Ovis aries: one gene and its partners. The protein of the gene in region 1 interacts with the protein of each later gene in a pairwise test. Links are inferred from orthologs where the notes say so. Each region holds a gene or a part of one and is shown in the gene's direction. Other genes may lie near its edges. The genes, in order: STK16, ADAMTSL4, MIIP, TRIM42, KCTD14, SAXO1 and PLSCR3.

Region 1 (4,115 bases):
TCATGAACCAGCTTCATCATGGGAGCTTGTTAGAAATGCAGAGTCTCAGACCCTACCTCAGACCTGTAGAATCAGAAGTTGTATTTCAACAAGATTTCCGGGTGCTCTGAGCACATTCAGGATCGAGAAGTAGATTTCTGCTACACTGAGCCCCCTGAGGATAGGGAGAGCCTTGTCCATCCTGAGTCCTCTGCTGCTATCACAGGGCTCAGTACACAGCAGGTTAAATCTAGATGAATGTCAGATCTAGGTTCAGACCCAAGGGAAACCAGAGGATATTTTCTCAGTATATGAAAGGGGAGTGGGAGTTGGGGTGGGGATCAGGTTACAAGAGGAATCTTCTTCCTAGAGAATCCTGTCCTGTTTCAACAAAAGAGACCATCTAGGCCATCCTATCATCTTTGGATGTGCGCCCCTTTCCAATTTACCCCTGCCTGGGCAAGAGACATCAAAGTTCCAAGGTTTGGAAATTTGTGAATTTCCATCACTCACTGCCTTCACAGTCCCAAGCCTGGGATGTGAAGACCAGGATAGTTATTATTGTTATTTCTGCTTATGGACACTACTCAGGGCTATGCATCAATCGCTATAGTAAGCACTTCACCTCTCATTTAATCTTCAAACAACTCCATGAAGTAGATAATAATCTCCATTTTACTGATGAGGTGATTGGAGGATAGAAATATTAGCCCGTTAACAAGGTCACATAACTAGTTTAGTAGAGCTGGGATTTGAATGAGGCAGTCTGGCCTCAGAGTTCATGCATTTAACTTTAGGTACTCTTACACCTATTTTACAGTTAAGGAAAGTGAGGTTCCTAGAGGCTAAGTAACTTGTCCAGGTGACACAGCTAATGGGCTATTAAGATTCCGACCCTAGTCTAGTTGAAGAGCTTGAGCTCTTAACTACTGTGATTACGGTAATAAGATACAGGCCAGAGCCCCCAAGGTTGTACTGATCAGAGCTGCAAAGGGGTGCAAACTGCCAGCTCCCGCCCCCTCTGAGCATCCACCTCCAGGCTGGACCCCAGTCGGCCACCCGGTGCACGGGAGGTATGACGCCTCCTACCTCTGGCATTGGGAGAGGCAGGTCCTGGGGGCCTCGGGCCGAGCCCGGCTTTGCTCCCCTTTGACGTAGGTGCCTGCGTCTTGACCCTCACTGCAGGCCAGGTGGGGAACCCTCACCCGGGTCCTGGGACCCCTTCTCCCCCAGGCCTAACCCGCCCCCGGCCTCTCAGCTCCACGCCCCCACATCGTCCTAGTGCTCAGCGGTTGCTAGGATACTGCGGGCCGTTACGCCGGCGCGGACTGATGACGTACTACTGCTTCCGGCCCCTGGCGCTTCCCTCCCGCTGAAGCCGGGTGAGTGTGGTGTCCTGGCTGGCCCACCCAGACCGAGACCCGGAGTGGGTTCTGCAAGCGGTGGGTCCAGGCCTCGCATTCCTCTCCGGATCTACCCCGTGCCCTGCCTCTACAGCCCAACGGGGTGTGCGAGTGAGGGGCTGCCTGAAGGTGGGCCGGGGTTGGAGGAAGTGGCCTGGGAGTCGCCGAGGGGCCTGGGCCCTTTTAAGGCACCTGACCCGAGCCTTCTTGGAGCGGGCGTTGCCAGGGCTTATTTTCTCTAGGTTTGGAGACCTGGGCCTGAGCGCTTCACGTTGGCCCTTTAGGGGGGGGTCATCTGGATTGTGCCCCGCCCATGACCTGCCATTCTTTTCCTTCCAGCATGATCTGCTGGAGCCCCAGCAACTTGCCTGAAAGAGACCACTCGACCTGGACGAACCCTTTGGCAGCTTCAGACCGTCCTTGAGAAGGATGACTGAGACACTATGGGCCACGCGCTTTGCATCTGCTCTCGGGGAACTGTCACCATTGACCATAAGCGCTACCTCTTCATCCATAAACTGGGGGAGGGGTGAGTGTTTTGGAAATCATTTAGTCCCAAGAATTGTGGTGTTTGAAGGACAGCAGTCAGCACAAGATAGGGGCACAGAGCCTCTAATTCACCGGCCGGAGCCCAGCTCCTTGGTAGTCAAGAAAGTGGATTGTGGAACCAGTCTTCCTAGAGTCACCATGTATGGCCTTGATAAGCCCTAGTTGCTTTATCTGCTTATTAGAGCTAATTTTGCTTCAATGATGGGGCTGTGAGGACTAAATGAGATAATTCGTATCAAGTGTCTCCCCTATTGCCTGATAAATAGCACTTGATAAAGGTTGGCTGTTATCTATTTAGTATTTATTGAAGCCCTGCATTAAGACCATAGGACCTAGAAAGTGACTGTGTCCTTGCTCTATGTGAATAATCTTCAGACTTCTTTTTAGAGTCACACCTTGGGAGGGTTGCTAGTAAACGGGAGACACCCCCCCCTCCCCTCGCACTTCTTCCCAGGGAATTCCTCTGGATCCCAGCAGTATGGGAGATGACCTTGGTCCTTCACTGACCCCTTTGGCCCACAGTGGGTTCAGCTTTGTGGACCTAGTGGAGGGGTTGCATGATGGACAGTTCTACGCCCTGAAGCGAATCCTGTGTCATGAGCAGCAGGACCGGGAGGAGGCCCAACGAGAAGCAGACATGCATCGCCTCTTCCATCACCCCAACATCCTTCACCTCGTGGCTTATTGTCTGAGAGAGCGAGGCACTAAACATGAGGCCTGGCTGCTGCTACCCTTCTTCAAGGTCAGAAAGTCTCCTGGCTATGGATGGGATTGCAACAGAGCGGTGTGTGCCAAGGGCTATCATGAGCACTCAAGCACATTAGGAAGCAGAAGTCATGTTCTGGTTTGAGCATTTCAGATTTGGGGTTTAAGGAACCCACCTGGGGCTGTAGGGTGTGTGGTGAAATTGCTATAAATTCTGACATAGGGAAAGAATCAGGCTCAGGGAGCAGAGGCTAAAAACATCAGCTGCGGGGAAACTTGTTTTGCAGAGAGGTACGCTGTGGAATGAGATAGAAAAGCTGAAGGACAAAGGCAACTTCTTGACTGAAGAGCAAATCATTCAGCTGCTGCTGGGTATCTGCAGAGGCCTTGAGGCTATTCACACCAAGGGTTATGCCCACAGGTCAGTGGGAGGCTCCATGTACTTGCTGGACAGAAAGGAAGAGCCTCATGAAGAGAAATGAGAGATCTCTGTGCTCTTCTCCAGGAACAGTCCCCATGATTCTTTTGCTCCCCCTAGGATCTTGGGCTTTTGGTTCAGGGATGCTCATGGGTCATTTCTACTTCCCTGCAGGGACCTGAAACCCACCAATATCTTGCTTGGCGATGAGGGGCAGCCAGTTCTGATGGACTTGGGGTCCATGAATCAAGCATGCATCCGTGTGGAGGGCTCCCGCCAGGCTCTGGCCCTCCAGGTAAGAGTTTCCAGAGTCCTTTGCCCATCTCTTCCTCATCCTCAGCCCCTTCTGGTCCATGCCCCAGTTTGGGCACATGACCAAAACCTGTGCCCTGCTTCTGAGCTCTGGGGCCACTGTTCCAGGACTGGGCAGCCCAGCGGTGCACCATCTCCTACCGGGCCCCGGAGCTCTTCTCCGTGCAAAGCCACTGTGTCATCGATGAGCGGACTGATGTTTGGGTGAGGAGCGTGTGGGTGGGAACGTGGAAGGGGAGGAGTGCTGCTCTGTAGCTGCTGTGAACTGGAGGAGCAAGTCTTTGGTTTCCAATGCATGGGGCCCCAGGAAGCATGTATGTCCCAATCCCCCCTTGACTTCCTTCCTGGGAACTATCACTGACACTGTACTCAGTTGCTCAGGAAGTGATATAATCTTGCCCTTTGAGCAGGATAAGTATAACTAAATGTCAGGGCTGGAGGCAGCGGCTCAGCACAAGACGCAGAGGCCTCCAGCTAACTGGCAGTTTCTCTGGGGCCCTGGTGGTGTCACGTGACTGAAGTCTGCATACTGCAGCCTCCTTTCACTACAGAATGAAACAGAGAGAGATGACTCCATTGGTCCTCTTCCAAGGAATAACCAAGTTATGCTCAGTCCCTAGGCTGTGTGCTATATGCCATGATGTTTGGGGAAGGCCCTTACGACATGGTGTTCCAGAAGGGTGACAGCGTGGCCCTTGCAGTGCAGAACCAACTCAGCATCCCGCAGAACCCCAGGTGAGCTTGAAAGG
Region 2 (4,072 bases), on another chromosome or scaffold:
CTGGGACTCATCTGTTTGTTCTGTTTCATTCCAAATATTTCTATTAACTCTACAAATACAAAAACCAAAACAGAAATACAAAAGATGAAAAAACAGAGATGACACAAAGTGGCCTAAATGGTCCTTGTCTTGAGAAAACTTAGGGGTTTATTGAAATAATAATAAATCATAATAAAATTATAATTTTATAATATAAATTATATAACTTATAAATTATAATAAAATATAGATATTGAACTTCAAATAAGGATATAATACTTATACTTAAAAGCATTTTATGTTTTCACTTCCCTCATCTCTTGAGACAACATTTGCTTCTGTTGAGTCCAGTACTTACCTCCCAAGTCTGTCTCCAACTAGACCCAACTCCTTAAGGCCAGAGGCTGTTCTAACTGTGCCCTCCACACCAAGTGCAGAAAGTGCTCAATAAGTATTAGGTGGGAACACCTGATACCCTGCTACTGAATATCCTGGTTTTAAAATATTGACAAGTCACTGGAAAAAAATAAATAAATAAAACCTTTCAAATGCTTGAGAGTAGACCCAACAGTACATGACTGTAGTTCATGAAAAAATGGCAAATAAAACTTTTAAAATAGTGGTGACAAGAAAAATAATGACTTTATCTACTCTGTCATTTTACGTGTATTATTTATTTCTTTACCATAAAAAACAGATAATGCCTGTGGTTAAACATTCAAAAACATATAAGCATACAGAGTAAAAAAGTGAAAGCTTATATTTTTATTTTCCTCTCCCAACCCCTCCCCAGCTGCTGCCCCCAGTTCCGAGTTTGGGATGTATTCTTCCTGATCTAAGTAACTAGGCAGACATATCTCCAAGCCTATTCGTGTATGTCAGGTTAACCCCATTTTACAGATGAGGAAACTGCAGCACAGAAAGGTTGAAGCATTCATCCAAGATCACAGAGGGAGATTCAAATCCAGATCCTCTGATTCCTAAATCAGCGCATTCCTTGCGCTACGCCCCGTAGGTAACATTTATGGATGAAGAAACCGAGGCTTAGAGGGTCCCTGAGCAGTCAGAACCACATGGTTCACAGTCCAATTTAGGAGAAGCAGGGATAACTGGGCTTGCACGGGAGGCTGCGTGATGGAGAGGGCCCTGACCAACGTGGAATCGAGGTCAGGCTTGACCATCTCCCAGCCCAGCAACGCCCCAATGTGGGGCGCGGGGCTCGCCCACGCCGCTCGGGTACCGGCGCCACCAACCCCTTGGCGCCCCTCGCGGCCGCTCCGCCCGGGCTGGCGCAGCGCTCGCACCGCCCACTCAGAGCCGGTCGGGAGACCGCGGTCCCGGAGACCCGAGCCCCAGCCGGGTCGAGGGACAGCCCTGGCGCGATGGCTCCCTCGGAACCCGGCTGGGACCTCCTCGGCCTCGCCCCCTGGAGCGGTCGGCAGGTGCCGGGCGGGAGCGGCCAAGGCCCGCAGCCCAGGGTGGGTGGCCCTGGCGGGCTGGGGATTCGGGGGCCGCCGGGGGGCTGCCGCCGGGCGCGTGGCGGGCGGGCTGGCGGGGCGGGGCGGGGCGGGGCGGGGGCGGAGCCGCGGCCGGAGGCGGCCGTAGCCCGGCCCAGGGGCCGCAGTGGCTGCCGCGGAGCGAGGCTGCCTGGAGGGAGCGCCCGGGCGCAGAGGGGTTAGCTGGCCGCCGGGGCCGCGCAGAGCAGGTACAGATCTTCCCTGGGACCCCTGGCCCCGGTCGCCCTCTCTCCCCCGTCTGGTTAGACCATCCGCCCCACGCCGCCGCGCCGTCCGGGTTCTCCGAGCCCCGCGGTCGCGCCCCAGCCACGACCCCGGCCCCAGTTCTTATAGCCTCGGAAGATCTTCCAGTCCCTGGGGTCCAATTCCTGGGGAGGGGGCTCTGATCTCTTGGAACGCTGGCCCCATCACTCGGACGAAGAATCAGCCAAAATTCCTACACAGAATAAAACTGGAAAACACACCCAGGAGCTCCCGGCACGCGCCGGGCACCTCCTGCCCTTCCCCTCTGGAACGGTATTTCTGGATGATGCGTTCCTCCCCCATCCCCCCAACCCTGTCATCCGCTTCCGTCCTGGGTTGGGGGGCACAGACGCTGGGAGGGTTACAAGTGGGTGCCCCGAATCCAGCTCAGCCTGACGACTAGAAAGGCAGGACACCTGTTGGGTGGGCCTCCAGGACCCAGGAGTGGCACAAGGAGGACCAAGGAGTTCTCGCCCAAGACAAGGACTCTGCAGCCAGCCCTGGAGCCCTGGACCCACCCCCTGCCCCTCAGTGCCACTGTTCCCCAGAGGTAGGTCTCTTGGGGTTAGTGAAGCGGTTAGTTCTGCCCAGGTCACTCCTCCTTGATCTCCACTGGCCAGTGTGGAGTTGTGGCAGGGAGGAGCCCAGGTTTGTCTAGACCAGTGTCAGCCGGGCCCAAGAATGGCCAGTTCTGTCTGACCTCTCCTTTCTTCACTCTGGACAGTGAGGCTCACCAGATGAGAAACGGAAAACATGAAAAGACTGAAAACCACAAATGTGTATCTGTTTCTGCAGCGTTTGTGTGTGCCTGTGTGTGCATGTGTCGGCCCCCTGCCCAGCTATGCGGGGGGTGGGGTAGGACTTTTCCAGAGAGGGAGCCAGGCCTGGCCCTGGCCCCAGGAGCTCACGTCACCCCACCCCCCACCCCTCACTTCTCCAGGGAGCTGCCAAAGCCAAACCCAGCTCAGGACAGGATTATGTGTACTGGGTAGACCCATAGAGAGAGACAGCTAGACACAGGCCTGGGGTAGCAGAGAGAAGCAGAGGCAGAGGAAGTGGAGAGGGGACCCAGCAGCAAGAAGTGGCAGTGACCAGCCTCCCATCTCCTTCTCTTCAACCACCAGGAAGGGAGTCAGGCTGAAAGCTGAAGGTTTGGGTGGAATGTTGGCCCTTCTCTGGAGCCCCTACCCGCCTCCTCATCAGGGCGGAGTTGCTGACCTCAGTGGTCAGCCCAGCCAAGGGAAGGAGCAGCCATCAGCAACCCCCTTCACAACCCCAAGTAGCTGAGGAGACCGTTCGGGCACAGGCCCCGCCACTGTGATCCTTCTCAACATCCCAAGCGCTGGGGTCTCAGGGAGGTGAGGGGGAATGGATTTGCTACCTCCAAGCACATTCCTGCCCTTCCCTCTGTCATTTTCCTGCCCCTGAGCTGGCCCACCTCAGCATTAGCTCCTTGGATTCCTCTCCCGGGTGCCTTTCAGATCCAACAGAAACATTTTTTTTTTTTTCCTGGAAAGCAGAGCTCAGAGCAGCATGAAGAGTGGGGGTGGGAAGGGTTCATTGTGAAGGGACTGGAGGGCCAGGGGGAGCCATGGGAGAGCCAGGCTTAGACCAGGGGAGGGTTCCAAGCTCCACTTCTCCAGTGATCAAGCTGAGACTGCAGGATGGACTTCCTGGCTCTTCAGAAGATAGACCCATGAGTGACTGGGGACCAATAGCCTCTCTAGCTGTATCTCCCCTCCCCAGCTTCCCCCAGCCATCAGAGTCTTGCCTGAAGGAAGGCCTCATTGATCCAATGCCAGAGGCTGGCCCCTAGAGGGAAGTTAAATATCACTGGGGAAAATCACCTGCTTCTCTAGAGATAAACCATCAGCCCATTTAGTTTATCCCTTGGCTGCAAAGTTTGAGATAGGCACAGTTGTGTCAAGTGTTCCAGAAGGAGCTTATTAGGTAAGAAGGCAAGAAAAGGCTGAGAAGCAGGTGGGAATGGAAAGCCCAGGGGGCTTCCAGTCAGCAGCTCAGAGAGGATGTCTGAAAAGTCCTCACTGAACCTCCCTCCTCAACCCTCTTAAGAAAGATGCATGTGTCTGAGCTGGCCTAGAGACAGTCGCTGTTTAGGACACAGGAGCTGAGAAGTTCCTGAAGCTGAAGGAGGGGACTGCGCCTGAGCTGGGAGGCTGAGGGCAGACCTCCACCCCTTCAGCTTGGGTAGATGGACAAAGGCAGTGCTCCTTTTCCCTCTCACCTTTAGGATCATTAAGGGATGGACCAATCTTCACCCCTCCATTCTCACTCTGAGTTGTCCTTCTGAGAAGTCATCCCTCCCAATCCCC
Region 3 (3,500 bases), on another chromosome or scaffold:
ACAGACCCCACTTCCTAGGCTTGCAGGAGAGTGATGCTGTGGAGGAGGACCACGAATGTGAGTGTAAACACTTGGTTACCCCAGAGCCCAGCCAAGGCCTGGGGGCCTGGGGAAGCAGCTGAGTGTTGAGGACTCAGGGAGGGAGCCTGGTGTCCCGACAGGGCATGGTGAGCCCTGGATAAGGGGTGGGGGTGAGCTGAGGCTTGGCCTCATGGGGAGTAGGGCCAGCCCTGTGCACTCACTGCCAGCTTCCCCAACCGCCTTGCTTCCCACATGCCCCGCGCCCCCTTCCTCTCCTCTCTGCATATGGGTCATCTGAGGTGGGGGGTTCTGGCTGTCACGTGAGCACCTGAGTCTATGTTGTGGGTTTGTACATGCAACATATAGTGTTTGTATCCATGAATGTATATGCGTGTGTGAGGTGTGTTCACGTGGACATATATGTGTGTGCACTGTGTGTGATTACAAGTATAAACACACCGTATATGTCCACAAATGTGGCTATATGAAGCAGTGCTCTGAGTGTGCACAGATGACACTTGAATGTATGAAGATGCCAGCACGTGTGCACGCATGTGTCATGCTTGAGTAGAAAGCGGTGCTCAGTGTCATTGTGTGTGAGCACGTGTATGTGTGCACACTCCGTGTACACGTGGGCGGGCCTGTGAATGTGGCCACTGGGGCTGTGCAGGGGCTGGTGGGCCTGTGTGGTTGGGGTCCAGGGGGTCTAGGTTCCCTGGCTGAGGAGGGACTTCTGCTCCTCTCTGGTCTCACAGGCGTGTACTGTTACCGTGTCAACCGGCGCCTGTTTCTGGTGCCTGCGGATCCTGGCACCCCCTGCCGCCTGTGCAGGAAGCCACGGGCCCAGCAGGGTGCAGGGACCCTGGCGGAGCCAGCGCAGGTCAGGTGAGTGGCCTGAGTGGGCAGGACACCCAGGGGAGTCTCAGGGGCGGTGGCAGAGGGGAGCAGAGCCTGGGGCCCATGGTCTTGGGGGCAGGTTGGGCGTCGCAGCCTGGAGAGACCTGCAGGAGCGCCCCCACTGTCGCCACCCCCAGGGTGAGCATCCCACTGTCCGTCCTGGATCCCCCACACCGGCACCGCATCCATCGGCGGAAGAGCTTCGACGCCTCCGACACACTGGCGCTGCCCCGGGTGAGGATGGGGGTAGGGCTGCCCCCTGTCTGGCCCAGTCCTCAGTTGTGTCCTGAGGCCCAGAGAGGGCCAGGACTGTCCCAGAGCCACACAGTGACGCTGGGCTCAAGGACCCCAGTCTCTGGAGTTCAGACTGGCCACTCACGTCACCTGTGCTGTTCCTGTTCCCTGATGGAGGTCAGGCTCCCCACCCACCCCCCGTCTGCCCGTGAGCTGGCATAATGCAAAAGGGTCTGATTTCTCATGCTTTTGTGTGCCGTGTGCACAGTCCTCAGGGGGTTTATCTTGTGGGGTCAAGCAACAGAGAGTGCAGTGGTGGTGGTTTAGTTGCTAAGTCGTGTCCAACACTTGCGACCCCATGGACTGTAGCCTGCCAGACTCCTCTGTCCATGGGTTCTCCAGGCAAGAATACTGGAGTGGGTTGCCATTTCCTTCTCCAGAGAATAGAGGTCCTGCTGTTATTCCAATTTACAGACGAGGAGACTGAGGCAGAGGGGAGGTGCCTTTTCCATGGTCAGCCAGGTAGAACTTGGGGTCTTATACTTCCATGATGCCTCCCCCATAGAGCCACCCTTTGTGTCTTCTGGGTAGGACAGGGGTCAGTGGGGACCCCACTCACTCCCAGTTGAGGCCGAGGATGCTGGAGTGGAAGCAAGGAGAAGGAGTACTGAGGAAAGTCCGTTTGCTCATCTGTAAAATGGGTCCAGTGTACTGTCCTCAGGCTTATGGGGTGAGCGGGGGGCAGGTCAGTGAGTCAGTACTTGTTAGGGGCCTGGAGCAGAGCCTGGCACACAGGATGTGCTCCATCAGCATCCACAGCCTTCCCTCCACCCATCTGTGGTTTGGGTCCGCAGGATTAGGAAAGGGAGGCCCGGGGGAACAGTGGTGGACACAGACCTCTGCCCTGGGGGAGCCTCAGTCATGGGAGACACTGATTATTTGCGGGGGGTCCCTCCACCCTCATGGGGGACACAGCCCTGCCCTAGAGGAGGCTGCCAGTCCGGAAGGAGAGGTGCAGCCCCTCCCTGGGCCTGCCTGGTCAGTGGGGAGCCCCGCTCCCAGCCAGGCGCCTTAATCCCTTGCTCTCCACAGCACTGCCTGCTGGGCTGGGACATTATCCCTCCGAAGTCTGAGAAGAGCTCAGCTCCCAAGACCCTGGACCTCTGGTCCAGTGTCTCCTCTGAGGCCCACCATCAGAAGCTGTCAGCCACTGGCTCTCCTCACCTGGTACGTCCAGGGTGCCCTGGGAGGGGCAGACACCTTGGAGCAGCCTGGGGACTGCAGAGTCTCTGGGGGAGGGGCGCAGAACCTGGAAGCCTCTCTCTGTGGGCTCCCATATCCCTGGCCCTGACCCCCAGCACCTTTCCAGTCTCCAGTGCTCCCCACTGGCTACCCTACCATGCCCTGGAAGCTGACCCCAAGTCCGAGATCCAGAAGGGGATGAGGCTGCATATGGAGGGAACCCATCCCAAAGAGGCCCCCTCTGAGACCTTTCTCTTCATTCCCTAGGCTGTGCCAATGCAGGTCCCACCCCCGACCCCAATCTGGTCAGAACCCTCCTCCATGTCCCGGCCTCGCTCCTCCCAGCCGAAGCCCTGAGGACTGGCCACTTGGAGGTGAACAGTGCTCCTGCCGTCGTTTCAGCTTCACCGCTCTGGCAGGGGTGCCCACGAGAGGGGAGCCTTGCCCAGTCTTGGCTGGAGGTGGACTCAGGCCCCACCTTCCTTCCTAGGCTGGGCCCCGGCCTGTCTCCTTCCTGGGGACACAGAAGGGGACCCTGGGGTTGGGGTGAGGGGATTCTGTGACACGTTTGTAAGTAAAGCTCAGTGCTCCCTGCAGCCCCAGATTCCCACATGTGCCGGGTCTGTCCTGCCGATGCCCTTAGAATCTCAGAGGTGCCCTGGCCTCAGCCTGGCCCTCCTCATCTGGGGAAGGACGCCTCTGACAGCGTGTGCCGGGTGGAGTGGATCCAGCACTGAGTGTGGCACTTTTGGGGGTGAGGGTCCCCAAAGCAGGCTGGGGTCAAGGTCAGCATTAAAAGGCCCCCTCAGCAAGGGGCTTGGGGTCTCAGGCCGGCCCCTGTAGATGAGGCTGAAGCTGTGACAGTGGGGAGTGAATGAGCCCCTCCTTCTTGACCCCTGACACCGGGGTCCAGTGATAAAGGAATGCTCTTAAAGTTCCTGGGTCCCGTGGCTCCTTTATTTCCATCTCAAGCCCAACCCTAGAAACCATGGATGATTCAGAGCCCCAGCAGGGACACCTGGGGAAATAAAAGGCCAGGAAGGTTCAAGTCAGAGGCAAGTGCTCACCTCTGCCCTCCTGAATTAGTAAGCAGCGTCTGTCTTTCC
Region 4 (3,500 bases), on another chromosome or scaffold:
GTGATGTCTGCTCTATTCTTGGGCTTGAAGAACAGTCTCCCTGGGCCCCCTGGGCTTAACACACCCTTGATGAATTCAAGAAAGGAACGTATATAGGAAAACTCAGTGAAGTCACTGACTCTCAAAATAGGACACCTAAACCTACTGCCAGACAGTGGCATTTGGTGTAAAAATATCATTTTTTTAAAATATTTTCACCTGAATAGGTGAAGTACACCTATTTCAGGATCATGGGGTATAGTTCACACAGGAATCATAGTGCTCAGTGATAACAGAAGTTGAAACCAGTGTTGGCATCTCTCTTAAGTGATGATTGACTAACAGTTCTCTTTTATTTGGGGATATTTGTTTTTATTTTTTTGAATTTAACTGGACTATAGTTGATTTACAATGATTTTTTAGTTTCAGATGTACAGCAGAGTGATTCTGTTACAAATATACATATATTCATTCTTTGTCAGATTCTTTTTCATATAGCTTATTATAGAATATTGAATACAGTTCCCTGTGCTATATAGTAGGTCCTTATTGGTTATCTATTTTATATACAGTAGTGTGTGTGTGCTAATCCCAAGCTCCTAATTTATACCTCCAACCGTACACATTTCTCCTTTGGTAACCTTAAATTTGTTGTCTCCTTTTGGCACAGGAAATACTCTTTAAGTTAGTCTTATGGGTTGTCACTATGTATCTTAAAAGTCTTAAAAGATTTTTTTATAAAAACTCCATTTTATTTCTAGAAATCCCCCCTGAGGAAATGATTAAAAATGTGATGAAGATCCATGCCCCAAAGCGTTCAATGCATCATTATTAGAGTATAAAATTAGAGCCAACCTAACTGTTCAACTATAGAAGGACCAAATCATTTATGGGGCAATTATTAAAATGGTGCTTTACTGAATTTTTAATGATATAGGGACATATATAAAATGCAATAAGTGGAAAAAAGCAGGAATTCAAGCAATATAATCCAAATTACATACATTTTTGTGTTCGTGTGTATTCTGAAATTGGAAAGAAATAATAATGAATTATTAACTGAACTCTGAGATTATAAGAGATGTTTATTTTCTTTCTTTCTTATACTTTTTATGTGTTTTCCAAGTTTGTATTTAAAACAAGTACATTTTGATAATCAAAAAAATGTTTAAAAACTTTATACATTTATATGACTTATTAATAAGTCAGGCTTTTATACTTTTAAAAGTGTAAATATATAAAAATAATTATAAAGTAATCATGCAAATTCAGAGCAACTTTAAAATGTGTATACTTATAAGAAATTTATTTTATACACAACAACATTTTTATATTTTTAATTGATAGATATTTGCTTTACAATGTTGGTTGATTTCTGCCATACAGCAGCGTAAATCAGCTATAAGTATACATACATCTCCTCCCTCTTGAACCCCCCTCCCACCCCAACCTCCATCCTACCCCTCTAGGTCATCACAGAGCAGCTGGGCTGAGCTCCCTGTACACACAATAACACTTAATTTTATGAAAATTTAAATAAAGTATGCAATGTCTGTTTAAAAATACAGCTATTATAAAATATTTATATGTCAGACACAATCTACTAATTAACATTTGTTAATATTTCTCTTCCCAAGAGTTGACATTTTATGCTTTGAGTATGAAAATATGTTCTCCATTACTTGGATGAGTCATTTCACCTCTTTGGGACTCTTTTGTGTATAAATGAAGGGTTGAAATATATACACTTTTCAACTTCTAGTTGAAATTGCTAAATGTAACCTTTCTGAGCTCCTCTGTAAAATGCCTGCATACATGGTCAGTCACTCAGTTGTGTCCGACTCTGCAACCCCATGGGCTATATCCCTCCAGGCTCCTCTGTCCATGGAATTTTCCAGGCAAGAATACTGGAGTGGGTTGCCATTTCCTACTCCAGGGGTTCTTCCTGACTCAGGGATTGAACGCACATCTCTTGTGTCTCCTGCATTGGCAGGCAGGCTTTTTACCACAGCAGCACCTGGGAAGCCCCCCACTGTAAACTGGGATAATAAAATCTCCCTCCAAGGAAGTTGTGAGGACCACATGAGTCAGGCCATGTCTGACACAGACATGATGCATAACAGGTGTTCAGTAAATGGTAGACACTTTGGTTAGTGGTGTTCAGAGGGCAAGATCACCTTCACGTTGACTGACAGGAACAGAAGCCAGAGGAGCATCCATCTGTTCTTAAAATGCATGATAAACATCATGTCAGGACTCATCACCCAGACCCTCAAGACTGTTGCACAAGGTCTTCAGCAGCTAGAGGGGCTGAGTCAGTTTAAACTTACCCCATGGGGTCAATAACACAGATCTTCAAGGAAAAGCATGGTGTCTGCTAATACCCCCACTAACACATCCACTTCTTCCTAGGTTTATTGGACATGCCCAACAGAAGACGTGGACTCTTTTGAGATGGAATTCTATGAACTCATTACTTCCCCTCCTAACAACGTGCGGACAGAGCTCTGTGGACAAATTCGGGACATAATGCAGCAGAATCTGGAGCTACACAACCTGACCCCCAACACCGAGTACCTGTTTAAAGTGCGAGCCATCAATGATAACGGTCCCGGGCAGTGGAGTGACATTTGCAAGGTACTGTACACGTTACTTCTCAGACAGATGTTCTTGATCCACTTTGGATGCAGCTGTCAGGATGATCGTGAGATCATGGAACTCACCCTGTGACAGGCCCCTCTACTCCCAGAAAACTTGCTACTCAAGGACACAGAGAGGGCCCCTGGCCTCAACCAACTTTGCCAATGAGGCCTGAGAATCGTCACTTCCATCTGATTCAGAAAACATTCGTGCCAGGTATCAGGTTAGGATGTAGAGATTCCAAGGAAAATAAGACATAATTCTTGCCTTCAAGGAGCTCAAGGTCTAGAAAAAATAATCTTGGTGTAAAAAGGACCAAAAAAGTGACACATTAGCCCCAGTGGTGATTCAAGCAAAGATAGTGTATCAGATTTAACCAATATAAATACAGGACGCATGCAATGAAGAAATTTTTTAGTGTTAGTGTATCCTATGCCGTATTTAGGAAATAGTTATACTAAAAAATGTATTTGTTGTGTATCTGGAAGTCAAGGAGTTGCCAGTGAGCAAGCCAGGAAGGACTCCCAAAAAGGAAGGGATAAGATTATTTCTATCTTTTTTTTGTGATGCAAGGCTGGTTCTTCCTTGTATCTCCAGGGGCAATACATTCAGGGGCATAATTTTATTGATATTCAAAAGAGAAAGGGAAGAAATATGCCAAGACTGCCTAGAACTATCTTACTGTACAACCATGATGGTGCTCTTAGGAATCAGAGTAAATTATATCTTAATCAGAGATTCTTTAGAAGTAAAGAGAATAAATCCATTCCTTTTGACTTTTGAAAAGAGAAATTTATAGTACAGAGAGAGAGGACTTTCATGAGACCACTTCCACATGAGACACACACCTGATACGCAAGAAAACCGGCAAGTCATCAGTT
Region 5 (4,300 bases), on another chromosome or scaffold:
TGTTCACATAAATAGGTATAAATTTACATGAGGTTTATGTTTATGTCTTTACTGAATTCCCATAGTATACACTGCTCTGATGTTTATTTTTAACTGCTTAATAAATAATGAGAGGCTTCCCAAGTGTTGCAGTGGTAAAGAATCTGTCTGCCAATGCAGGAGACACAAGGGACACCCGGTCTGATCACTGGATCGGGGAGTTCCCCTGGCAGATGACATGTCCACCCACTCCAGTATTCTTGCCTGGAGAACCCCATGGACAGAGGAGCCTGGCAGGCTACACAACTGAAGTGACTTAACATGCATGGATGCGTGGGTTTTGGGGAAGAGGATCACCGAGAAAAAGTGCCATTTTCATCACACTCTATCAAGGATATACATTATCATCATAATTTCTGACTCCTGCTATTGACCTTGATCACCTGGATAATCACCTGGCAAAGCTGTCTCTGTCATTTTCTCCACTGTGCATTTACTCTTCTGTTCCCCTCTCTTTCCATACTGTCCTCTTTGGAAGGTCACTATGCAGGCCTATACTACAGAAGAGTTATTCCCCACTTCATAAGGAATATTTTTTTAATAGTTATTTTTAATTTTTTTAAGTTTTATTTATTTAGTTTTGGCTGCACTGGGTCTTGGTGGCTGTGCAGGGTCTTTCTCTAGTTGCTGGGGGAGGGGGCTATTCTCTAGCTGGGACTGGAGGACTTCTAGTGCCCGTGGGCTCCAGCAGTTGCAGCTCACAAGCTCTTCAGTTCAGTTCAGTTCAGTCACTCAGTCGTGTCCGACTCTTTGCGACCCCATGAATCGCAGCACGCCAGGCATCCTTGTCCATCATCAACTCCCGAAGTTCACTCAAACTCACGGCCATCGAGTCAGTGATGCCATCCAGCCATCTCATCCTCTGTCGTCCCCTTCTCCTCCTGCCCCCAATCCCTCCCAGCATCAGTCTTTTCCAGTGAGTCAACTCTTCGCATGAGGTGGCCAAGCTCTAGAGCACAGTAAATAAATCTTTTGCTTAGTTGTGGCCCCTGGGCTTAGGTGCCATGGGGCATGTGGAATCTTCCCGGACCAGGGGGGCCCAGGGATTGAACCCAGGTTCTCTGCATCGGCAGGCAGATTCTTTAATAATAATATAGTAATAATCCCGGATCACCAGGATTATATTTTACCAGCAAAATAACACACACAGCAGGTACCTAGCATGTGCTGCACGTTCAGCAGCTGATCTGAGGTGACTATATAATCCACTGTCCCCTGGAGACTCACTTTTCTTACCTGTAAAATGGGTGTTTCTTATCATTCACCCCCACGACTGTATTGAGTGGACAGCGTCCAGGGAGTCAACGTCAGTTCCCTCTCCCTTCCCCATTTGGCTGTCCAGCAACCCAGACACGAGAGGGGCAGTGACCAGCCTAGGGTGTTACGGCCAACTGCAGCCCAATCAGGGCTCTCACCACACCCTGGGTAGGATTCCCCCACCCCCGGGCGGGAGCCAGGTGCACTTCGGCCGGCCACAAGTAGCCCGCACGGGCCAGCGCCCGCGGGGCCGGGGGAGATGAGCCTGACCTCGGCGCCCGACTCACGGCCGAGCGGCCGGGCCGCGCCCCTCGCCGGCCGGCGGACGGTGAGTGCGAAGCCCGCAACGGGCGTGCAAACCCGCGCGGCTCCGGGCCCGCCGCCCTCCCTTTCCTCACTCCTTCCAGGGCCCTCTAACCCTTCCCTCCCCGCAGGTCTGGGTTCCCCTGCTTCGTGCGCGCCCCTCTCGGCCTGCGGCTGGGGGCTCTCCACCTGGGCTGTTCCTGCCGCCTCGCTCTCTCCGGCAGCGCCCCGGTCTCGGCGCCGGTTCCGGCTCAGTCCAGCAGCTCCTGGTTGCCCTCTTTCCGGCTTGGCGGCCTTTGTGTGGTCTCCTCCCTGTCTGCTTTGTGTCTCTTCTCGCAGCCCCTCTGGCTTGCCCCTCCTCCTTCCCTGCCCCACCCCTCCTGCCGGTGGGAGAAGCCCCCACTGGGGGCGGGCCCGAGTATCGTCCACCGCCCCCCCTCCCACCGCACCCCTTCTGCAACCTGAACCCCTGCCCTCTGGCTGGCTCCTGAGTCTTCCTGCTTGCCTGTTTCCTCCCAGGATTTGCGGGTATGGAGGGGGAGTGGGGACCAAAGGGGAGTATCAAGAAAAAGCCCAGTGCACTCTAGTATCAGAGCATTCTCACCTCTCCCGGGCTAGGTGCCATCTCCAAGGCTTGTAGGAAGGGAAAGCAGAGCAAGCCGTGGGGCGACTGTGGCATTTTCCAGTCAGGTGATGACAGCCTTATTGTTGTTGGCTGTTGACAAAGTCACCTGGTCAGAGGCGTGGCCACCCAACGTGCCCAATAAATGTCTGAATTAATTACTAGAAGAGGGAGGAAGCCTGGACCACGCCTGATGCTAAGTAGGGCAAGACTGGCCTTTATTAGAACCGCAGGGCGCTCCTGTGAGTCAGTGCTGAGGGTAAGTGCGGTTCAGTTCAACAGACACATTGAGCAGCCCCCTGTGCTGAGCCCTGCAATTTGTACTGGTAACACGAAGATGAATCTGGGAATAGTCCTCCCTTAGGAGCCTTCTACGGTAGTGGGGGATTCAGATGAAGGAACAAAATTACAAGAGAGCGATAACTACCATGACGAGGGAAGTACATGGGCCTCTAAAATCACAAGTAGACAACCCATCCAGAAAATTCCCAGAGCAATTAACTTGAAGGCTGAGTGGGCTGAGTGATGGGACCGTGGGTGGTGAGCGAGTGACGTCCTGCGGACAGTGGGGCCCAGCATGCTCTGGTTGGCTCGGGAAGGGAGACCAGTACTGGCTCTGGTAGTTGATTGTCAGGGTTACAAAGGGCCTTGTAAACCTCGTTAAGGAGTCTAGAATTTACCTTTAAAGATATGTGGGATCACAGAAGTGGTTAATGCAAGGAGTGACTAGATCAGATTTGCACTTCCGAGAAACTGCTCTGGTTTCAGAGTTGAGACTGGATTGGGTGAGGACATTCCAGGAAGCCAGGAGCCGTGGATCTGACGAGGCATTTAGAATCCCCAGGATTTAGTGCCTCATTACCTGTGTGTGGGGAGGTTGAGGACATGAGCAGAGTGCAAGATTACAGTCTAGGTTTCTGGCTCAGATGACTAAGACAGGATGCGGCAGGAAAATGTCCAAGTTGTGGTGCGGGGAGAGATCTTGGGGCTTGGGGACATATGACTGGAGATGTCCCTCCACTGACTAGACTAAGAGTGACGTAAGGAAATGTATGAATGTTTGGTGGAGTTAGAGTTGGGCCTGTCTGATTCATCCCTGTGTACCAGCACTAGTCTGATACCCACATGTCTCCAGCCAATGCACACAGGTCAGACTTGCCCATTGAGGAATGCTTCAGCAGGGTGACTGGGTAGAACAGGTGGGGAGGAGGGGCTGTAAGGAAGGGCTGGTAGTCTAGAAGAGGGATGGGAAAGAAGTCTTTATCTGCTAGAAACAAATACAGCAGTATTCATGGATGACGTAGGAGGTTTGGGATTCCCAAAGAGGTTTGGCGTTTTTAGAAAACAAGGAGGGAAAAGGGACAGAATTAAGAAGCTTGGGAACAGGGCCCGGGTCTTGGATGTTAAAGAAATGGGGATGAAGATATCAGGGCAGGGGGCTATTTTGTTTAGTATCTGGAAATGAGCTTCAGAAACAACATTTGAAGTGATTGGATTCATTAAATTTTCAGAGCTGAAGAGACTCAGAGTTCTCTTCATCCATTTTGCCTCCCTATGTCATAGATGACTAAGGTTAAGCTCAGAGTGGCTCAGACAGTAAAAAGAGTCTACCTGCTATGCAGGAGACCCAGGTTCGATCCCTGGGTCAGGAAGATCCCCTGCAGAAGGGAATGGCAACCTACTCCAGTATTCTTGCCTGGAAAATCCCATGGATGGAGGAGCCTGGTGGGCCCCAATCCATGGAGTCACGAAGAGTCAGACATGACTGAGCAACTAACACACTCAAGCCCGGAGAAGGAAGTGAGATGCCCCAGGATCATAGCTGATAATTTGGCAGCGGTGGGACTGGGTGTTGGGAAGGTGGGAGTAGAGCACTCATACTGTCCTGCAGTCAGACTGACACGGATTTGATCCCAGCCGCCACTTCCCAGGTGGCGCTAGTGGTAGAAAACCCACCTGGCAATGAAAGAGACATAAGAGACAGTTCAACCTCTGGATCAGGAAGAGCCCCTGGAGGAGGGCATGGCAACCCACTCCAGTATTCTTGCCTGGAGAATCCCATGGACCGAGGAGCCTGAT
Region 6 (3,500 bases), about 130 Mb from region 1:
GACCTGAAAGAAGAAAGGAACCAGACTTTCAGTGCAAAAATGTTTTCACGTAGTCGGTGGTATATGCTCAGAACTGAGGTGGTTCTGCTCTGTGTGATGCCACTTGTGTATGAGGGTGATATTCTCAATTGACCCAGGAACCAATGAGGAAAGATAGTAAACCTGGCCCTTGAGCATAGCCTTGGAGCCCCCTGTTAGGTCAGATGTTAAGCCTTTAATTGCTGGGTGGCTGGGAGGTGAAGTGGGGTCTTCGGAGGGACTGGGTTGGCATTCAGATGCCTCGGGGGCCACAACCATTTCCCTATAGTATGTGAGTGTTTCAGTATTTAAATGAGAGGCATGATGCATGTGAGGGCTGGTCATCAGCTATGCTTTGTAACTTTATGATCGAAGGAATTTTGACAATTAACCAATTGCAGTTACAGATCATTTAAAAAATTCTGGCCACTTCATATAGTTGAGTAGAGAAAAAGAAGGGTTAAACTCCTGCTTTCAATGTTGGCCGTCATGATTCTATACTCTGGGTCACATTTTGAGTAGGTAGCAGCCTGAATGTATTCTTCGCAAGAAGGTAACCAGCCTCACGTTCCATTTTTCTTTTTTAACTAGGCGGCATCATTGTCCACACCTCCCTACCAAGATTTATGACAAAACAGAGAAACCATGTCTTCTCTCCGAATATACCGAGAACTACCCTGTCTATCACTCTTACCTGCCCAGAGAGTCCTTCAAGCCCAAGATGGATTACCAGAGAGCGTGCACGCCGATGGAAGGCCTGACCACATCGAGGTGAGGGCATGGTGTGAATGTATGAGTGCAGAGCACTGATGGAGTAACGTACATTAACCTAATGTTCAATATTACATTAATGTGCACTGCCAATACGTGCTATTAACGCCTTAATGTTAATTTACTCAGAATCTCTGAAAGAGAATCCTGCATTTATTAGCCAGTTTAGTTTTCCCCATCACTCTTTTAGTGAGCAAGGATTCTTGCTTGGGGCTGGGGCAGGGGTGGGGCCATGGGGCAGGAATTGCAAATTGACCTACATGGAAAGGCTTAAAGTATTAAAGGGAAGTAATAACTTGAAAGGCGGTGAGGGCTGCTGCAGAAAAAGGAGTTTTGGGCTTTTGCACATAAGCTCTAGTTCAGCTTGGGTGGTGGTAGTGATGTTGGTGGTGGTGAAAGAGAACTTGAGCGTTTTTGAAGTTATGCTATAGATTTTGAATTGAGGTCCCCTTGACCATACATCAAGAATATAAACAAAGAATATTTCCTTTTTAATTACTCTTGACTTAGAAACTCTGATTCTTGAGGTCCAGCTCTGTACAGAGACTGAGCCCCGTGGCTCAACGTATCAGGGCCGCAGGGTTATCTGTATTGAGGGGGTGGGGACACGTGGTCAATCTCAGGATTGTTCTACACATTGCGTTGCAAGGCTCTCACAGAATCAGGCTGTTGACAACTCATTGAGTGACATCTGACCTGTGACTGATGACCCAGAGGAGTACCAACACCTTGGAGTTACTTGGGCAGTGTTTCAGGTTATATAGCTTAGTCCCCAGCTAAGACCTGAGAGCTGGATGCCTTCTCTGCCTCTGATGATCCTCATCCCTGAGGGGCAGCATTGCTGTGCAGTGGAGATGAACTAGTCCTAGTATGATGCCCACATATTACAGGTTTTCAAGATCTGGTAAATGTTCTTCCTATTGCATGCTGCCCCCACTTTTGCCTTGCAATTTTGTGCTTTTTTGATAAAGGTCCCAGATGGCCCAGACTAAGCAGAACACCATTCCTTCTGCCTCCAGGTTTCCTCCAGGATAGGCCTGGAAACATCCTCTGTTGAGAACGTGGGTTGGAGGCATGTACTATATGCTGCTTATCTTGTATATCCAAAGAAGTCCATGTCTGGGTGATGGGGTAGAAAAGACCCACCAGGCAAGGTCAAAGCCAAGTGATCCCTGGACTTAGTGGGAACTGGTGGACAGAGGCAGTTTGAGAATGGGAGGGAGTCAAGGGTCTGATTCTTGAATCAGGCCACCTTTATGCTGAGTAGTTGTATTAACTGATTTGATTTAAGCACAGGGTTTCTGGGTCCTGATTCATGAAAAAAAAATGTAATCTATGCCACCTGCTTACTAAACAACATAAACCTTAGGGTTTGGGCTTCATTTTGCCAATAAAATAACATCCTTTGTTTCTAAGAATCTAAAGACCTCAACAAGAGAGAGAAGTGGAACATTCTCAAATGTTGCTTTTCATTTTGAAAAACCTACGGTTGATACTCATGAAAAGAACTAGGCTTGTGTATAAAAGACATGTAGTTGGTAGGAAAAGATAAGAGCAGTATGGAGAAATGGCTTGTGAATATCACATTTGGTTTTAAGATGCTAGTCTTCACTTCTCTTTATACCCAAGTATAAAGAGTGCCTCATGGAATGTAGAGTGCAGAGTGGCTTCAGATATTGTCCTGGAAATATTTGAATCCTTGGAGGGCTGGATGTTGAAGGATGCTTTCTGTTTGTTACCCACAAGCTCAGGAGAATGAGGACAAACCTTTTCTCTGGAGCAGTAGTCCTGCCCCATGCCTGAGCTGTGAGCCCCCAGTGGAACCCTACATTCCCTCTCTCCTCCCCATCATGCCCCCCTCCCCCATATGCTCTCCTTCTTTGCAAAACAAAAACTGGCCCTTTGACCTGTTCTAAATTATCCTTGCCTGTGTCACTTACAACAATAAACATATCACCCAGAAATCCTCTCTGTCCCTGCCAAGGCCAGAATAATAAAATCATTCATGTGAAGATGTGGCCAAAGCGGAGGAATGCAGGTAGTAAAAGAATTTCCAAAACAACTTATTAATGATCATAAAGACCTTAAAAACAAGAAGTGGCAGGATCATGGTTAACCATGGGAAGGAAAAAGGACGGAAATACCTCTCTCCTCTCCTTTATTTTCTTCCCCAGAAAGAGGACTAAGGTGGAGATGAGCAGAAGGCATCTCTTCTCTCTCTTGTCCCTCAGTTTCATCATTTCTCAGTCCCATGCCTGCCCTGATGGGCACATTTTTATAGAATGAAAAACACAAACAAAACAACCATGCCACTATCAGGATGCCTTTTTTTTTTTTTTTTAGCTTTGGTGGGATTTTACTGACATAAATCAACAAAAATCAAGATTTTACTAACCATCTTTTCTGAACCTTGTAAACTCAGCAGAGACTCTGGTCCATATCTCTGAATACATAACACTATTCCCTGCAGGGAAATGTGGAGATGTTGTCACCTAGGTGCTCCACTGGAGGTTGGCGAGGAAGGGGTAGGTCGGCCTTGTGTCTGCACACCTCTGCGTCTGTGAAGGTTGCCATCCTTCTGCTCTTGGACTCTGGTGGTCAGAATGTCCGGCCCACTTTGCTATGTAAAGGCAGACCTGGCTTAGTTTCTGAAGTTGGACCTGGGACTGCTTGACATGCCACCTGCTACATGACAAAGTCATATGGCCCGA
Region 7 (4,066 bases), on another chromosome or scaffold:
AAAATGCCACATACCTTTTTTGATTGCCTGTCTGAAATACAGTAGGGGCTCATTAAATCTACACTGAATAACTGAATTTCCGTTTGTGTTTTGGTGGAGGTTGGTGCATGGTTTGGGCCAGGTAGGCACTAAGGGATACCAGGAGAGAGGTCTGGCACTTGGGTTTGAAGCAGATGATGACTGAAGCTGTAGGACCAGCCCAGAGGAACAGGGACAGAGGAGCCGGCAAACCTGCTTCTCCCTATGTTCATCTTGCTGGGTGAGACCCCGATCTGCCTGGTCACCAGACAGGCAACAGAAGTCATCCTGGACTCCTCACCTCTGCATCTGACCTCTCAAGCAAGTTCTCTATTATTGTCTAAATATAGCCAAAGTCTGCCGCTTCCCGTCTGTCTACACTATCACAGCCATCCCCTCCCCCAGACTACTGGCAACAACCCAGTCTTAGGTGCCTCTGTTCCCCACCACGCAGTTTAAATGGTTTTCTAAAATAGCTGACCTCCCTCCGTCTTCGTAAAATCTTTCAGTGGGCTCCTGCTGCCCTGGGGGCCAAAGCCCAGCTCCCACAAGGCCTTCTGCGCACGTGGCCCGAATTCTTATCTAAAAGGGCATTTCTTGCCACTAAGCCTTTAGGCCCCCAAGGCGCAGGACCCCCTCACACCTCCTGGCCTGGGCTCAGGACTCCAAGCCGAGGAAGTGATGCCTGTTGGGGAAGGCCTGCCTGCGTCCGGGCTGCCTCCTTAGCCTCGCCTCTCGCACGCTCGTTACTGACACTGTCTGGCGGCCTGTCGCGTGGCTGGGGGCGCCTGAAGGAAGGATTGTAATTGCAAAGTGTCCGTGTGTGTCACTGCTGCGTCAGGTAGAGAAGATGGGCAAGGTAGCCCCAAGGAGGCAGAAGGGGAGCCAGGAGCCAGTCGGAAAAGCCAATGGGTGAGAGTGTAGGGTGCTTGGCTGCGTCAGCGAGGCCGGAACCGCCCTCAGGAGGAGGAGCCTGGGGTCCAGCGCCGCGCGAGCGGCCCTCTCTCCCACTAAGGGTCACTGGTCACTCTCCGCCCGCAGACCTGGCGGGGGTCGCAGGGTTAGGTCTCACCCGACTGCCCTCCCAGGCGAGCTTCAGCATCCGAGCGGAAAGGGCGGGGACGCCCGCCAAGCCACGGGGCCCCACCGGAAAGCAAGCATTATTTCTGCGCAGGCGCGCCGCTCTGGCCGGGAGGGGCGGGGCCTGGACGGGTCGGGGGCGGAGTCACCTCTGGGCCCGCCTCCACTAGCTCCTCGGGCCGCCGAGTGCTGGGCACCCGGGCTATTCTAGGGGCTTCAGGTGAGCAGGGGGAACAGAGGGGTCAGGAGACCTCCTTCGAGGTCGGGTCGTCGGTCTGACTGCAGGCCCATCTGTCCTGCGGTCTGCCAACAGCCGCCTCCGCGGAGAATGGGAGAACAAAGGGAGGGGGCGGTACTGGGGCCCCTGCGGGAATCCAGGGTCCCAGCGCCCCCGCCTTGCCCGCTGACACTTTCGGTTTCTCCCCGAGTCAGACGCGCCGCCCTAGAGACCCTGGGCCGGCGCTGGGCGCAGCCGCCTCTCCGCGTTTGCCTGTCGGTCTTTGTGTCTGTCTTTGTGTCTGTCTGCTGTCTTCGAGCTTGCCTCCACTTCTAGAACTAAACCTCTGGGACACCGAGATCCCGCGAATCCTCGCCTCTCTCCCATGGCAGGTAAGTGGGCGCAAGGTCGAGGGTCTCCGTTATCCCCCCCACGGACTTGGTAGCCCGGTGTCAGACGCATCCTCCGGGAATGTGCTCGGACTGGCTGTGTGGGGCCCCTCCCTTCCTCCCCGAGAAGCCGCCGCCCTGCTCCCCCGCCCCATCTTTCTCATTCTCTTCTCATCACAATTTCCCCGCAGCCTCGCGGCCTGTGGGCCAAGGGGTAAAGGGATGAAGTCAGGGACCCCTTCTAACCTACTCTTGTCCCCCCCACAGGCTACTTGCCCCCCAAAGGGTATGCCCCTTCGCCCCCACCTCCCTACCCTGTGACTGCTGGATACCCGGAGCCGGCACTGCATCCTGGGCCTGGGCCCGGCCAGGTGTCCGGGCCCGGGCAGGCACCAGTGCCTGCCCACGTGCCTGCCCCTGCGCCGGGCTTTGCTCTCTTCCCCTCGCCTGGCCCTGGGGCCCCGGGACCAGCTGCCCCCTTCTTGCCATTGCCAGGGGTGCCTTCCGGCCTCGAATTCCTGATGCAGGTGAGTGGGAGGGAGGGAGGGAGGAAGGAAGGGAGGAGTGACAGGGAGGGGACCCAGGCGACTAGGCAGGCCAGCTGATGTCCGCCTGGCCCCTACTGTCTTTCCAGATTGATCAGATCTTGATTCACCAGAAGGCTGAGCCGGTGGAAAGTGAGTGGAAGGAGGAATAGGTTGGGCCTCATCACGGGGGCAAATAGTGGGCTCTGGGGCAGGCGCTGGTGTCGGAGCCTCAGCATGTCACCCCTTGGCAGCGCTCTTGGGCTGGGAGACCTGTAACCGCTACGAACTGCGCTCTGGGGCCGGACAACCCCTGGGTCAGGCGGCGGAGGAGAGCAACTGCTGTGCCCGGCTGTGCTGTGGTGCCCGCCGGCCCCTGCGAGTCCGCCTGGTGGACCCCGGGGACAGAGAGGTGCTGCGCCTGCTCCGCCCCCTCCACTGTGGCTGCAGCTGCTGTCCGTGTGGCCTCCAGGAGGTGAGTGGGGAAGGCTGGGGCCGGAGAGAAACTCGGGTAAGGGGCTGGCCAGTGATGGCGGCAGAACCTGGGTGAGGCATGGGATGAGATGGTCTTCTGATTGGAGTTGGCCAGCAGCAGGTGGGATGGGAGGCCTAGTGAGAGGGAAGACAGGTGGTCTAGTGAAGGGGATGGAAGGTCTCATGAGGGGAAACAGATGATAGAGCTAGACTGGTGAGAGTTTGGGGGCCAGGGTACCCGGCTGGGCAGTGATCCTGTCTGTTTCCCACTCCAGATGGAAGTCCAGGCTCCACCGGGCACCACCATTGGCCATGTTCTACAGACCTGGCATCCTTTCATCCCCAAGTTCTCCATTCAGGATGCTGACCGCCAAACCCTCCTGAGAGTGGTGGGGCCCTGCTGGACGTGTGGCTGTGGCACGGACACTAACTTTGAGGTATCAGGAATAAGGGGAGATTCCTGGGACCTTCATAAACCAAGGCATCCATGAAGCAGGATAGTCAAGAGCTCATTAATCCAAACCTGCTGTGATGCCTACCACATTGCTGGCTTTTCTCTACTCAGAAATAAGATGGACCAGGATCTTATAAAACATGGCTGAGGATTTCATCTGAAGGGCCAATGCTGATTGCGATCTGCAACCTTGTGTTGAGGGAGAAAAAAATTAGCTTAGGCCAGGCTGGAGTTAGGGTGAAGGATGATTATTGAGTGTACCTTGGGCTGGGCCCACATGGCGCCTGTGTGTGTGAGTTCGTGAGCCCAGGCCCTGGAGCAAGCACTGATTTCACTTGTTAATATCCTGTGGCTTACCTTGCCAAATGTCCACCCATCCACCCCTAGTCTGAAATCCAGGTGATGTCCTTCTTACCATACATTCTGGTTACCAACCCAGAGCCTAGAGAATCCAAGTGGTGACCATTTAAGAGTAAAGCCTGGGAAGCACCTTCTTTTCTAGAAGATAAAGGCACTTGAATACTTTAAGAGATAATTATATGTGTAGATAAGGGAGGAAACAACAGGTATAGTCTGGTAGGCTTTCCAAGGCTTCTGATAAGGTGCTCTACCTAAGGTTACTTTTTAAAACTGAGTCACCTTGGTACCTGGGGAAAGCTTCTTTGATAGGAACTCATTGGCAAAGAGATAACTTGATGATCTCTGGATGGGAATATGTAGACTGCATGGTTCTTATCAGGTCAATCTTCCTTTTATGTAATATGAATGGTCCACATTTGGGGTTGTGCTCTTGGGACCACAGGGCTGGCTGGGAGAGGCCCTGCCCAACCTGGGACTGGTCTGCAGGAAGTGCCCCAGGGCTGTAGGACCTTCGGGGAAGGGGATGGGCAGGACATCACTCCAGTTCTAG

Evidence for each region.
Region 2: the proteins of STK16 (region 1) and ADAMTSL4 interact in binary tests that used the Homo sapiens proteins (3 or more experiments, as listed by UniProt). The two-hybrid records come from large-scale screens. The link is inferred for Ovis aries from reciprocal best matches to the Homo sapiens genes STK16 and ADAMTSL4.
Region 3: the proteins of STK16 (region 1) and MIIP interact in binary tests that used the Homo sapiens proteins (3 or more experiments, as listed by UniProt). The two-hybrid records come from large-scale screens. The link is inferred for Ovis aries from reciprocal best matches to the Homo sapiens genes STK16 and MIIP.
Region 4: the proteins of STK16 (region 1) and TRIM42 interact in binary tests that used the Homo sapiens proteins (3 or more experiments, as listed by UniProt). The two-hybrid records come from large-scale screens. The link is inferred for Ovis aries from reciprocal best matches to the Homo sapiens genes STK16 and TRIM42.
Region 5: the proteins of STK16 (region 1) and KCTD14 interact in binary tests that used the Homo sapiens proteins (3 or more experiments, as listed by UniProt). The link is inferred for Ovis aries from reciprocal best matches to the Homo sapiens genes STK16 and KCTD14.
Region 6: the proteins of STK16 (region 1) and SAXO1 interact in binary tests that used the Homo sapiens proteins (3 or more experiments, as listed by UniProt). The two-hybrid records come from large-scale screens. The link is inferred for Ovis aries from reciprocal best matches to the Homo sapiens genes STK16 and SAXO1.
Region 7: the proteins of STK16 (region 1) and PLSCR3 interact in binary tests that used the Homo sapiens proteins (3 or more experiments, as listed by UniProt). The two-hybrid records come from large-scale screens. The link is inferred for Ovis aries from reciprocal best matches to the Homo sapiens genes STK16 and PLSCR3.

What each region holds. Positions count from the first base shown.
Region 1 is NC_056055.1:221,193,131-221,197,245, forward strand, and holds the start of STK16 (serine/threonine-protein kinase 16), read left to right. Parts: upstream 1-1,315; 5' UTR 1,316-1,361; exon of another isoform or gene 1,362-1,511; intron 1,512-1,721; 5' UTR 1,722-1,825; coding exon 1,826-1,911; intron 1,912-2,385; exon of another isoform or gene 2,386-2,409; coding exon of another isoform or gene 2,410-2,453; coding exon 2,454-2,673; intron 2,674-2,923; coding exon 2,924-3,057; intron 3,058-3,228; coding exon 3,229-3,349; intron 3,350-3,474; coding exon 3,475-3,570; intron 3,571-3,979; coding exon 3,980-4,101; intron 4,102-4,115. UniProt on the Homo sapiens protein: Membrane-associated protein kinase that phosphorylates on serine and threonine residues. In vitro substrates include DRG1, ENO1 and EIF4EBP1. Also autophosphorylates. May be involved in secretory vesicle trafficking or intracellular signaling.
Region 2 is NC_056054.1:100,567,590-100,571,661, forward strand, and holds the start of ADAMTSL4 (ADAMTS-like protein 4), read left to right. Parts: upstream 1-1,272; 5' UTR 1,273-1,457; intron 1,458-1,601; exon of another isoform or gene 1,602-1,684; intron 1,685-2,174; exon of another isoform or gene 2,175-2,289; intron 2,290-2,863; exon of another isoform or gene 2,864-3,097; intron 3,098-3,990; 5' UTR 3,991-4,072. UniProt on the Homo sapiens protein: Positive regulation of apoptosis. May facilitate FBN1 microfibril biogenesis.
Region 3 is NC_056065.1:40,918,923-40,922,422, reverse strand, and holds part of MIIP (migration and invasion-inhibitory protein), read left to right. Parts: intron 1-4; coding exon 5-57; intron 58-776; coding exon 777-906; intron 907-1,055; coding exon of another isoform or gene 1,056-1,152; intron 1,153-2,244; coding exon 2,245-2,379; intron 2,380-2,661; coding exon 2,662-2,884; 3' UTR 2,885-3,500.
Region 4 is NC_056054.1:248,852,209-248,855,708, reverse strand, and holds part of TRIM42 (tripartite motif-containing protein 42), read left to right. Parts: intron 1-2,391; coding exon 2,392-2,616; intron 2,617-3,500.
Region 5 is NC_056074.1:15,598,689-15,602,988, forward strand, and holds the start of KCTD14 (BTB/POZ domain-containing protein KCTD14), read left to right. Parts: upstream 1-1,500; 5' UTR 1,501-1,555; coding exon 1,556-1,624; exon of another isoform or gene 1,625-4,300.
Region 6 is NC_056055.1:87,546,761-87,550,260, reverse strand, and holds part of SAXO1 (stabilizer of axonemal microtubules 1), read left to right. Parts: intron 1-609; coding exon 610-789; intron 790-3,500. UniProt on the Homo sapiens protein: May play a role in the regulation of cilium length. Stabilizes microtubules at low temperature.
Region 7 is NC_056064.1:26,965,612-26,969,677, reverse strand, and holds the start of PLSCR3 (phospholipid scramblase 3), read left to right. Parts: upstream 1-1,266; 5' UTR 1,267-1,700; coding exon 1,701-1,707; intron 1,708-1,971; coding exon 1,972-2,231; intron 2,232-2,338; coding exon 2,339-2,381; intron 2,382-2,482; coding exon 2,483-2,703; intron 2,704-2,977; coding exon 2,978-3,139; intron 3,140-4,066. UniProt on the Homo sapiens protein: Catalyzes calcium-induced ATP-independent rapid bidirectional and non-specific movement of the phospholipids (lipid scrambling or lipid flip-flop) between the inner and outer membrane of the mitochondria.